Canis lupus familiaris: one gene and its partners. The main gene of each other region encodes a partner of the protein of the gene in region 2 in a complex. Links are inferred from orthologs where the notes say so. Each region holds a gene or a part of one and is shown on either strand. Other genes may lie near its edges.

Evidence for each region.
Region 1: the proteins of CREBBP (region 2) and IRF3 are in contact, whole or in part, in a crystal structure (PDB 5JEM), measured with the Homo sapiens proteins. The link is inferred for Canis lupus familiaris from reciprocal best matches to the Homo sapiens genes CREBBP and IRF3. Residues at the interface, in NP_004371.2 of Homo sapiens: Leu2070, Thr2073, Leu2074, Lys2075, Ser2076, Ser2079, Gln2081, Gln2082, Gln2084, Gln2085, Val2086, Asn2088, Ile2089, Leu2090, Asn2093, Gln2095, Leu2096, Ala2099, Phe2100, Gln2103; in NP_001562.1 of Homo sapiens: Pro198, Gly199, Glu200, Glu201, Trp202, Glu203, Ser221, Leu322, Ile326, Leu329, Ile330, Thr333, Thr370, Cys371, Leu372, Ala374, Leu375, Glu377, Met378, Ala379, Val381, Gly382, Gly383, Ala384.
Region 3: the proteins of CREBBP (region 2) and PPARA are in contact, whole or in part, in a crystal structure (PDB 9IWL), measured with the Homo sapiens proteins. The link is inferred for Canis lupus familiaris from reciprocal best matches to the Homo sapiens genes CREBBP and PPARA. Residues at the interface, in NP_004371.2 of Homo sapiens: Asp62, Ala63, Ala64, Lys66, His67, Lys68, Gln69, Leu70, Ser71, Leu73, Leu74, Arg75; in NP_001001928.1 of Homo sapiens: Val284, Thr285, Thr288, Glu289, Lys292, Phe297, Leu302, Asn303, Gln305, Val306, Thr307, Leu309, Lys310, His457, Pro458, Leu459, Glu462, Ile463.

Annotation. Positions count from the first base shown.
Region 1 is NC_049222.1:107,548,784-107,552,994, reverse strand, and holds the start of IRF3 (interferon regulatory factor 3), read right to left. Parts: upstream 2,873-4,211; 5' UTR 2,636-2,872; intron 1,842-2,635; 5' UTR 1,829-1,841; coding exon 1,664-1,828; intron 979-1,663; coding exon 807-978; intron 722-806; coding exon 651-721; intron 1-650. Other genes in the region: BCL2L12 (bcl-2-like protein 12), read left to right, coding at 2,938-3,076, 3,713-3,827, 4,038-4,180.
Region 2 is NC_049227.1:37,802,866-37,806,510, reverse strand, and holds part of CREBBP (CREB-binding protein), read right to left. Parts: intron 1,997-3,645; coding exon 1,817-1,996; intron 825-1,816; coding exon 635-824; intron 1-634. UniProt on the Homo sapiens protein: Acetylates histones, giving a specific tag for transcriptional activation. Mediates acetylation of histone H3 at 'Lys-18' and 'Lys-27' (H3K18ac and H3K27ac, respectively).
Region 3 is NC_049231.1:20,888,555-20,892,187, forward strand, and holds the end of PPARA (peroxisome proliferator-activated receptor alpha), read right to left. Parts: coding exon 3,352-3,633; intron 1,214-3,351; coding exon 966-1,213; 3' UTR 602-965; downstream 1-601. UniProt on the Homo sapiens protein: Ligand-activated transcription factor. Key regulator of lipid metabolism. Activated by the endogenous ligand 1-palmitoyl-2-oleoyl-sn-glycerol-3-phosphocholine (16:0/18:1-GPC). Activated by oleylethanolamide, a naturally occurring lipid that regulates satiety.

The DNA of each region.
Region 1 (4,211 bases), on a different chromosome or scaffold from region 2:
CCCTCTGCCTTTGTCTTGGTCTCTGTCTGTCTCTCTGTGTCTCTCATGAATAAATAAAATCTTTTAAAAAGGGGGCGGGGGCTTCCAGTTGGGGCTGGCAGGGAGGTGGGGGATAGGAGGTAGGTAGACAAGCATGGGCACAGATGACAAAATATATGCTCTGGTATATGATGGATGCTACTATTGGCCCAAGGGGAACAGCTAGTTCCAGCCCAAGGACCTGGCCCTGGGCAAGCAAGACCTGGGCAGAGAAGGCTGGACACTATTTCAGAGGGGACCTGCCCTGGCATGGACGTCAGCAAGACCAAGGATAGGGTGGTTCTGGGTTCCCAGGAGGCTGAGGGTACTCTACATAGCAAGAGAAACTGTGAAATTCTAGAAAGGTGTATTAGGGCCCTAAATGCCTTGGTGAAAGCTCTGCATTTTTTTCCTGAGACACTGGAAGCATCCATGGAAGGGCTCGCTATGAGCAGGAGAGGGACAGGGTCATCTCTAGATGAGTGGGTGGACAGCCCACAGGGGATAGGATGGAGGCTCAGGAGGAAGATTTGATGTGATGGTCCAGGGGGAGGAGAGGAAGCCTGAACAAGGCTGTGGGGACACAGAAGATGGGTCATCCTGAGGGCAGGAAGGATGGGGTGCATTCTTGCCTGGGTATCCGAGGTACTGTATCTGCCATTGGTGTCTGGAAAGGTGTCCAACTCAGGCAAGTTCCCAGCTCCTGCCAGGGAAGGTGGTGAGTGGAGCAGAGTGTTGGGGATGCTCAAAATCCCATCCCTCCACATGGAGCCCCACTTCTGGCACACCTGAGATCACAAACTCATAGACCTTGTGTGGGTCGTGGGGGTCTTTGCTCCGATCTTCAGCTACACGCAACTCCTCCTTCCGGTTCAGGGCAGATCGGAAATTCCTCTTCCAGGTGGGCAGATCAGGTTTATCCTTTCCAGGAGTGTAGGCACCGCTGACCTCGGCCCACGCCTGGGGATCCAGTTGGTACCAGGATGGTGAGGATGACTAAGACCCCGGCCCAAGGGCGCTCTCCCCTGGCACGTTCTAACTTGACAAGGATCCATCCCCAAACTCTTGGACTCTGCATCGTAAGCACCCTCCCACCCCCACCCCCCCCCACCCCCCCGCTTCACCTATTCAAAAACTTTGCTTTCTAAGCCAACCTTCCAGGTCCTACTGGGCGTCTAACTCTGCCAGCAACCTGCCCCAGGACAGGTTGTAATGGCCCCGCCCCCTCGTACTCGAACTCGGGTTACCACCACTGGTGTATCCGAATTTGGTGGGAAATCACCTCAGCTTTGGGGCCAGGTCTCGCCTCGAAGGTTCCAAAACCAGCCCTCAGAATTCTACGACCCAAAGCCCCGCCCTCTGCGAGCCCTCAATCCCCAGTTTGCATTTCTCTCGAGTTCTAACCCCGCTTTTCCGGTTCTTTTTCCGGAACCTGGCCGTTCCAGCCGTGCCCGCCTTGCGACATCCGTCCGCTGATCCTCCTAACCCTGCCCAGTCCTGTCCTAACTCCACTCACCTCCACCTGCCACCGTCAGCGCCGGCCGACCCTACGCAGGCTAACCCCTCCCTCTCGGCTCCGCCCCCTGGGAGTCCACCCCTCGGGTAGGTTAGCTCAGGGCTCCCCGGCGGCACGAAGCTCTCGCACCTGGAAGATGCCGAAGTCCTCCTGCTGGGCATCCTGCCGCAAGCCATGCTTCCAAGGGATGCGAAAGCGCGTGCGGCGCTCGTCCAGCCAGGCCACCCCCTCCAGCTGCCCTAGGTCCAGCTGTGACACCAGCCAGGGCAGGATCCGCGGTTTTGGGGTTCCCATGGTCCGGCCTGCGCTTAGAGGGCAGTTCGTGGGCGCGGATGGCCTCTTAGCTACCCGCCCCCACCCCCGAGGGTTCCGCTCCCAGACCTTCCTCTCATGGGGCGGCGGTGCAGCGTCCCTCACTTATATTTTCCTGGGGTATAAAACAAGACAACTCCTCTTTTCACCTCCAGACAGTCCCCCAAGTCAACGAGGACTTCCCGCCCAATCCATTTGAGACGGCCCGTCTTTCCCCACCTCCTCCTGAGCAGATCCTCTACCTCCCCAACTCAGCCAGGGTAGATTCTTCCCTCTTCCGTTGTAAACCCTCTCCTCCCCTCCCCTCCCCCACATCACCTAAGGCAGTCACCTCCGCGTCCAAGGTAGAGACTCCCCTGGTTATTTCAGGGCAGACGTTATTACCTTGTAGATCTCTACCTCCCGCACTTATCTGTGTTGCGGACTCCTACAGAAGAGCCCCTCACCCATTTCCACGGTGGACCCTCCATCCACCATCCTTCCCCCCAAACAGCTTCCTTCCTCTAGGGCACCCCCCCCCCACACATACTCTATAGAGTGGACTGCCTCCCATTTTCAGAGTCTGCTCTTCTCTGCCTTAGATCCCCCCATGCAGACGCCTCCCCCCCGCCCCCGCTACTACTTTTTATTTCACAGCCGACCTCCGGCAGCGGCCATAGCTTCACTTTTACTCGAACTCTGCTTCACCTTCCCTAGAGTACACCTTGCTCCTCTAGACTCAGGGCAGACCCAGCACGTCTCGCGTTTCTCGCCCCGGGCGCCACCAATTCCCCAGATCTTCCCAGTTACCTACGTAGAGGGTCGGGGCGCTCAGGGTGCTAGAACCCGCCCCTGCCTTTGGGGTCCGATAACTCTCGAACTTGCAGCTGCACACCCTACTTCCCGTCAGCTGAGCTTCAGAGAAAGAGGGTTTTCTTTTCTATCGATTTCATAAAACAAAAACAACTTTATCTGCGATTGGTTGACAAGACTCCAGAGCCAAAGAGGCGGCACCAAGAACCCGGACGCCCCCGGTTCTCCCCTCCCCCCCCGCTATGCCCTTTATAGGTCTTCCGGCCAAAGGCATGCTGGGAACGCCACATGCAAATCAGATGGGTATCCAGCGCTCCGCCCCTCCCACTACGGGGCTGACACCAACCCGGCCCAGTGCGCAGGCGCGGGAAAGTTGCACTAATAAAAGTTTGCTCAAGTTCGGTGAAGGAGAGGGGGTCGGCGGCTTCCCGGCCCCAGGTAAGCTGGGCTTTTGTGCAGGCTGGGGCGAGAAGGGAAAAGGACGGGTCTAGGAGCGGGCACCTCAGTCCCGCTTCCTGGACATCTATGCACCCCGGGTCCCCAAGATTCCAGCGTGGGTCAGATAATGGAACTACACTTCCCAAGGAGGCTGCGCGGCGCACAAGTGCGGACCGAGGGGAAGGTTTGCCATGAAGCCTGCTGGGATTCGTAGTTCCTGATTCTCTAAGAGCATGAGCGGCTTGGCGTTATGCCTCCAGAAACCAGAAGTCGTTGCCCCAAGTTCCGTTCTTTCTCAGACTCAACAATTCAGATCCTCCAGCCCCCTTCTCCAAAAAATCTTCAGAGTCCAGCCCCCAGTCTTTTGACCCCAGGAACCCGGGTCCCTAAGCCTCTTCCTCTCCAAGGATCAAGGAGTCTTCGGCCTCATCGCTCTTCTCCCTCTGAGAACTCAAGAGTCTGGGTCCCCAGACCCTAACTCCCCTAAAGGATTTAGGAGTTGAGACTCTCACCCCCTTCTTCCTTCGGGAATTCGTGGGTCCTGGCGCCCTCCTTATTCAGGGACTAGGCATTTGGGCACCAATCCTCCACTTCAGTTCAACCCTGGAGCCCATCCCCCAGCTCCCTTTTTCACAGGTGCCCCCATGGCAGGCTCAGAAGAGCTGGGGCTCCGGGAGGACACGCTGAGAGTCCTAGCTGCCTTCTTTAGGCGAGGTGAGGCTGCTGGGTTCCCCAGCCCTACCCCACCCAGGTAAGAGGAGCTGCCTTCTTTCCGCTGGGGCCTGCATTTGGGGTGGGGCCCTCTCTAACTTTTGTACCTGGTCTCTGTCTGCGTTCCCCTCTTTTATATCTGGCCCTTTATCCTTGTCCCTGGGGTTGCAGTGACAGGCCCTCAGTGGGAGGAAGAAGGGACTGCTTGCAAGGGGCCTCTGCAGTCATTCTCTGAGGTCCCCTTCCCCAGGAGTCCTGCCCAGGAGGAGCCAACAGATTTCCTGAGCCGTCTTCGAAGATGTCTTCCCTGTCCCCTGGGGCGAGGAGCAGACCCCCCTGTGTCCCCTCGGCCTTGCTCCTTGCCCCTCCGCCCATGCTATGTTTCAGAGCCTGGTAAGAGATTTTCCTAGATCACCTGGACACC
Region 2 (3,645 bases):
TCCTCATTTACAAGGGTCACCTAACAATGTTCTGACACCCTGCTGACTTCATGCTGGACCTCCAATGGGTTCCCTCTGAGTCCCCCTGCGAGGCTGCCTCACCCCGCAAAGCATCTTCAGTTATCTGCACCCCTCCCACTGCACCAGGCACTGGGTCCTGTTCCACTGCCCATTTACTCTGAGCACACCTTCCCATCTGTAACAGTGCACCCACGTGTAGCCACGGTGATAATTTCCCTAGTGTGGCAGTCAACCTCCTGCTCAAATCTATCCGTGGTCGTCCAGGCCCTACTGAGTAAAGAAAGCCCAAGCTCCTCAGCGGGCACAAGGACTCAGATGCAACTTCTACTTTGGCCCCATGGGGAATGATGGCTCAGAGGAGAGATGTGCTCCTGGGCTGCCCCTCAGAGCTGCGGCTCATTTCTCATTCCCACCATAAACCTCATGGGCCCTCAGGCTGCAGTCTAGCTCTCTGTCATCATTTCTGAAGAAGTAAAACTTGGGGAATGGCAGGCAGAAAAGATATAAGGGGGGGAGACAATTATTTTTCTGCTTTAGCTTTTAACCTGTGGTGTGCAATCCCAACACGATGGAAAAGCAGCACGATAAAACAAGTCCAGGAAACACAACCTACTTTTTTTGCGTGGCTGTGAAGGAGATGTTGACTGAGAGGTGGCCCCATTAGCACTGTTCTCTTCTTCCTCTTTAGCTTCTACTTTGACTTCCGGCTTCTTCTCGTCCACTTCCATCGGTTCTGATTTCTGTTCTGTTGTGTCTGTCTCTTCTTTAACTTGAGAAGATCCTTGTAGATCCTCTTCCATCATCTTGAGAAATACAGAATTACAGGTAATAATGTATGAATAGCAAAGACCTTTATTCTAACTCAGCCTCACTGGAAGTCTCTTAACAATCTATCTGGGCTTATCAAGCTGTACCCTACTCAAGAGTTGCATTTACCATCCCTTCCTCTCCCCCAGGAAGGATTGGAACATCTGGTGTCAGGTGAGTTGCCTTAGGACAGCACCACTGCAATTATAGTCCCAATTTAAAAATTTTATATGCTAGAGTGCTTATAAGACATTGCATATACACACCCCATCACCTGCCCAGTAGTTTTACATGTAGGCATTTCTAGTTTGGAACAAGAATCTTCTTGAAAGTTGGGGCAAGTTTCAAAAACCAAACTGCTCAGAGGGCCAGGCAGGTGAAGTACATGATGCAGCAGGAGGTGTGTGAGCCAGAGTGGGGAGTGGAGACTCCGGCAAATTGGAGCCCAAGCCCCATCTAAAAGCCAGGGCTGAGGCTCCCACCCAGACTGCTGACATAGGAATGTAAGCACAAGGCTGACAGAGCTTCTCATTTTCAAAGAAAAGCCAGAAACCCAGAGTTTTATTTGTAATTCCTCATTTTAAAAAATATTGTGTGGGCCAAACAAAACATGTGGATGGGGGTGGATCCAGCCCATGGCTTGCCAGTCTTTAGCTTTTGCCACAGGTTAATTAATGAATGAGCACACCCTTGTGCAGTCTAACTCTACAGAACTACCTATGAATGAAGAATGACAGTGCAGTCACTGGATGATTCAATCATTTAGAATATAAACCAGTGTCCTCTTCATTTCTGGCAAAATATAGTAAAACCCGTACCTAATACCTAAAAATAACTAATCTATTTTTAACATTTATCCTCTCTGAATCCATCATCAAACAGGACATTAAAACAAAAAGCAGTGTCGTCCATGGAGAACATGCGGTGTCTCGCCTCAGGACGCTTCAGTATGGTGCACACCTGTTCACGCCCCAGGAAGGGCACCTACCGTGGACCCAGGCTCCCCCTTGGCTTCACTGGCATCCGGCTCAGTGTCCTCGGTCTTGACCTCTGCCTTCACTTCCAGCATTGGTACCTCGGGTCCTGTCTGTTGGGAGTTGGTTTCGGCGCTGGCCACCGAGGAAGGAGTGGGGACCCGGTTATCGATGCTGGCGGCTGCCTGGGAAAGCTGTGGAAAAACCAGAATTACATATCTCTGTTAATAAAACAGAAATGATGTTTAATTCTGCTATTCACCAAATACCCAGTTTCTTATGAACATTTCTCAACACTAATCTAATAGACACCCCTATCTGAGAGAACTGAAGAAGAGAAAATTTAAAACAGGAGTCCCAGAGGAAGTCAATGAGGTCGAAACAGAAAGAGCTTCCTACCACGAATGCAGAGATGAAGGTGCAGTGCTTCCTACAGGTTGATATAAAACTATTTTCTGGAAGTTATTTATTTATTTATTTATTTATTTATTTATTTATTTATTTATTTATTTATTTATTTATTTATTTACGAGAGACAGAGAGAAAGAGAGATAGAGAGGCAGAGACACAGGCAGAGGGAGAAGCAGGCTCCATGCAGCGAGCCTGATGTGGGACTCGATCCCGGGACTCCAGGATCATGCCCTGGGCGGAAGGCAGGTGCTAAACCGTTGAGCCACTCAGGGATCCCCTGGAAGTTTTCTAAGTCACAGAATCTTCTATTTTAAAATTAATTCTTTCCAATAAGGCCATTCAAGTTTACCATAAATGGCTGAAGTGTAGATCTAGAAGTACCCAAGTAGGAAGGGGGATAAAAGGCTGACACGGAACAAGGACAGGTATTTTAGCCTGTGAAGTGCAGGCACAGGGGTGGTGAAGGAGAAGTCAGCAAACAAGGCCAGGAACCACCGTAAGAATTCTCAACTTTCAAAGTCTCACTTATAGTTGTTGTTTGTTTGTTTAGATTTTATTTATCCATTTGACAGAGAAAGAGAGAAAGCAAGAGAGCATGCGTGAGTCAGGGAAGAGCAAAGAGGGAGGGAGGGAGATAAGCAGACTCCATGTCCAGCACAGAGCCTGATGCAGGGCTCAATCCCATGATCCTAAAATCATGACCTGAGCCAAAACCAAGAGTCCGAAGCTTAACCAATTGAGCCACCCAGGTGCCCCTACCTAATAAGAGCTTTAACTGAAGTAAGCAGAAGAGAATATAAAATTACAAAGGAATGTTAGAGATTAGAAATATAAAATAAGGATAAATAATAAGCACAATTCCTAAGAAGAAATATAAACAGTAATGTTATGTTGGGGGTATTTATTTATTTATTTATTTAATATCCTCAGTCTCCAAGAATAAAGTTAATGTATTTCAGGGGGAAAGATGGTTTCTAAGTTAGGCTGATACGAAAATGGATGTGAAGATTTCAGTGATAGGGGCACGTGGGTTGCTCAGTCGGTTAAGCATCAGACTTTGGCTTGGGTCATGGTCCTGGGGTCCTGGGATGGAGCCCCCAGTCGAGCTCCCCGCTCAGCAGGGAGCCTGCTTCTCCCTCTCCCTCTGCAGTTCTCCCTGCTTGTGCTTGCGTGCGTGGGCTCTCTGTCAAATAAATAAGTAAATAAATCTTTTAAGGGGGGGATAAAAGACTTCAATGGTAACTGGGGCAATGCCAGCAGGTCTGGGAAGGACTGGGCAGAGGTGAGCTACAGGAAGTGCTAACCTGAGTTTGCCATTCTGTCATGAGACGAAAAGTCTCCAGGTCTGAAAACAAGACAGGCAAAGCCAAAGCACATACAATTAGGAAGGAATGTGCCTTGTTTATCATATCCTCATGATGTTAAGAGAAAA
Region 3 (3,633 bases), on a different chromosome or scaffold from region 2:
CCTGTCGGTTTGCCCCCCGCCCCAAGAAAACACTATCATGGCCCCCAAACAACCTGACTCGGTTGGTTCAGATTTGATAGGAGACAGAGGTCAGAGGGTCGGAGAGCTGACACAGTCTCCGTTTGTCTTGCTCCTGCTGACCACGGGACCACAGACACCAGCTGGAGAAAACAAGCAGAGCGTCAAGTCCGGGGGGGGGGGGGGGGGGAGTCTTGAGACTCAGTTTTCTGGGATCTTCTAGACAAACCTAGAAACAGGCCCTCCTGCCTATTAAGTCACAACCCCCAACACAGTGAAAACCGACCGACTGTTGCATTTGGATAGCTTATCAAATAATCCTTGGAAATTTCAAATCCTCTGATTAAGAAACAGCATGTTAAAAAAAAAAAAAAAAGAAACAGCATGTTGTCTTTCTTCAAATTCAGGAAACAGAATTAAAGTCTCCCCAATAAATATTTTGCTGCTTTTAAAAAATAACCTAACCTTTGGATTCATCTAGATTTACAGGATTATAAAAGTTAAAAAGTGCTGATTAGTTTCCAAAACGATACAAAGGAGCGCAAGAGTCAACAGGTGGCAGAAAGAGAAGACAGACCACGTATTTCAAGGTCACCAGTTAATTCAAGGCTACACGGCTAATGTGATATAAAGAAATCTGCATGGATTAACATCAAGTGAGTTAAAATCAGACTGCTGGGCATCATTCCCCTTAATTTTCCAAGAACTGCCTATCAGCTACCTGTCACCGGCGTTTCGACACTTGGCACGCTCTTACAAGTACTGATGTGAAAAAGAAAGAAATGTGGTCTAGGTTTCCGGTTACCTAGGGCTCATCCGTCCCATTCTCTAAGGTGAAAATGGTGGAATTTGTGCAAAGCAGGCATTGCTCCCAGTTTTCATTTGTAGTGCTGTCGACTTTAAAAGTCCTCGAAGAGCTGCTTGTCGTGCGGTTCGCTCTCAAGCCGTCAGTACATGTCCCTGTAGATTTCCTGCAGCAGGGGGTGCAGGGCTGCGTCCGACTCCGTCTTTTTGATGACCTGCACCAGCTGTGCGTGCTCGGTGACCAGCTGCCGGAGGTCTGCCATTTTTTGAAGGAGTTTTGGGAAGAGAAAGATGTTGTCCGGGTGGTTGGTCTGCAGGTGAAGTTTGAGCACATGCACAATGCCCTCCTGCATTTTTTCAATGTGTCCCACGTTTAGAAGGCCGGGGCGATCTATTCTCAAAAGAAATAAGAGACGGTTGTGATAAACCTCCCACGGACACCTCCTAACTGTTTATGGGTTCGGGAGACCAAACATTCTTACTCTTACACTGCCTTCCAATAACGTTGACTCGGCGGGAAGACAGACCTCGATTCTTCCAAAGTCACTGGGCCTAATGCGCAGACAGGACAAATACTCGATCCTAAGTATTTTTGTACTCCCTTAAGTCGACCAGCTATCCTACACCATGGCCCTTTCATTTTGGATTTCCTTGATGACCACCAATTAGGGGAAAAAACCCAAAACATAGGAGTAATCAGACATTCTGATGACGATTAAAACAACCAGTTTTGTATAATATGAAATGAAATACATCTTGAATCAAAACTAGATATTCAGTTTTAAGTTCTCCACCACTGTTTTAAGGATTGCGTTAGACTGGGTTTTGTGGTAAAAAGCACTCGTTAGGGGAACAGATGCTAGGAATCTTCCAATATGAATCTGCTGCATAGACAGTGGAGTGAGATGTGAGTGGTAGATGCTACCTCGATGGGGTGCTGACGAGCCCCAGGAATGCCTGAGATCCGGTGCAGGCAGTTCAACGTGTACACCACACGCCCTCCCTGGGGCAGCTCAACCGCAGGCACCAGACCTCCTGGGACAGAGGAATGCACACGTCCTGGGCACACGGGTCTTTGGTCTAGAGTATTCCCTGTCCCCACTGCCATCCAATAGGCAGTGCTCTCTTTAAGGCCCCACTCCTTACTAGGGTTGTTAAAAGTGCTGCTAAGGATGTGGACTTTTTCATTGCTTTTTCTGGGGTTGTAAAATGAATATAATTACTAACTTTTTAAAAGGAGAGATTAAAAAAACAAAGTGAATTCCCCTCGTAAGGTTTAAGGTATACCACACCAGACACTTTTCTGTACATAGGATTGATATATGATTTTTTTTTTTGAGAGAGAGAGAAATGGAGAACATGTGCGGTGAGACTCCCCACTCAGTGCAGGGCCCAATGTGGGGCTGGATCTCACGACCTTGAGATCATGACCTGAGCTGAAATCAAGAGTCACATGCTTAACTGACTGAGCTGACCGGGCGCCCCGGGATTGATAAGCGATTATAACTTCTTTTAGAAAACTCTGCTCGTACTACCTATAAATGGTTGTGCGCTTGCTTTTTACTCACAGCACTACATCTCGAGCATACAAAGGACAATGTAGATTATGTACAACTGTTTTTGCATTTTACATTTTTTGCCAGAGCAGAAGGACTCCCTCCACCTGACTGGGGGCAGCTGAACAGTAACAGGAACAGGCCTTGTGGGGCTTCCAGCGTCTGGGCGTCTGTGGCCAGCCTCAGCCCTGCAAGTCAGCAAACCGTGCAGGACAGTACAGCTTCTGGCAGTTTGCGGCAGTGGTCGGTGGTCACCCCCCTTGGCCTCCCTGGGGGCTGGGTGAGGTCAGCTGAGTTTACGGTATAGGGATGACCTTCTTATACCAGGACAGGGTTATTTAAAGGAACATGACACTGAGCCAAAATTCTGGGAGCTGCAGAGCCAGCTTCCTTGCAGAGAGGCCCAGATTTTCCTTCACTGGGATCCATTTCCTTTGGCAAAGCAAACTGCAAACACTGCCAGTGAGCTACTGATATTTTTCATTATGAAATGGAATAAATATACCAATGGTGAAATAAACTGCACTAACATCTGTACGGCCCTTTATAGAATACTGCCTATAATACGGATATAACACTATAATAATAGAATTATATAACAGTAACATGATACACTGTACATTGTAACATAATTCTTTCTAATATATATTAAATATATTAGATAAAACTATATTACCATTACACCTAATATATTATGTTTGATATGATTATATTATGATTACAAATAGAATATTACATATACAACATAATTATGAATGGGACATATTCATTTACTGCACAACTATGTGTTTATATATAATAATGTATGCTGTTATGTGATATGATAGGATATAAATCTCACTGAATTCCAATCGGCGGCGATGTAGGGGCATAGACGCCCTCCCATCTGCCAGCGCATGCTCCACTGTGCATGATGCACGTGTGCACCAAGAGGCTGCAGGTGACACGGCGCTGGGTTACGTCAACGACTTACCTCCACAGCAAATGATAGCAGCCACAAAAAGGGAGATGTCGCTGTCATCTAGCTCCAGTGCATTGAACTTCATCGCAAAATCAAACTTTGGTTCCATGATATCACAGAACGGTTTCCTTAGGCTCTTTAGGAACTCACGAGTTATAAAGCCATTTCCATAGGCTACCAGCATCCCGTCTTTATTCATCACAGAAGACAGCATCGCAAATATGGCCTCATACACTCCATATTTCAGTAGAGTGACCTGATCATTCAAGTCCAAGTTCGCGAAGCCAGGGATGG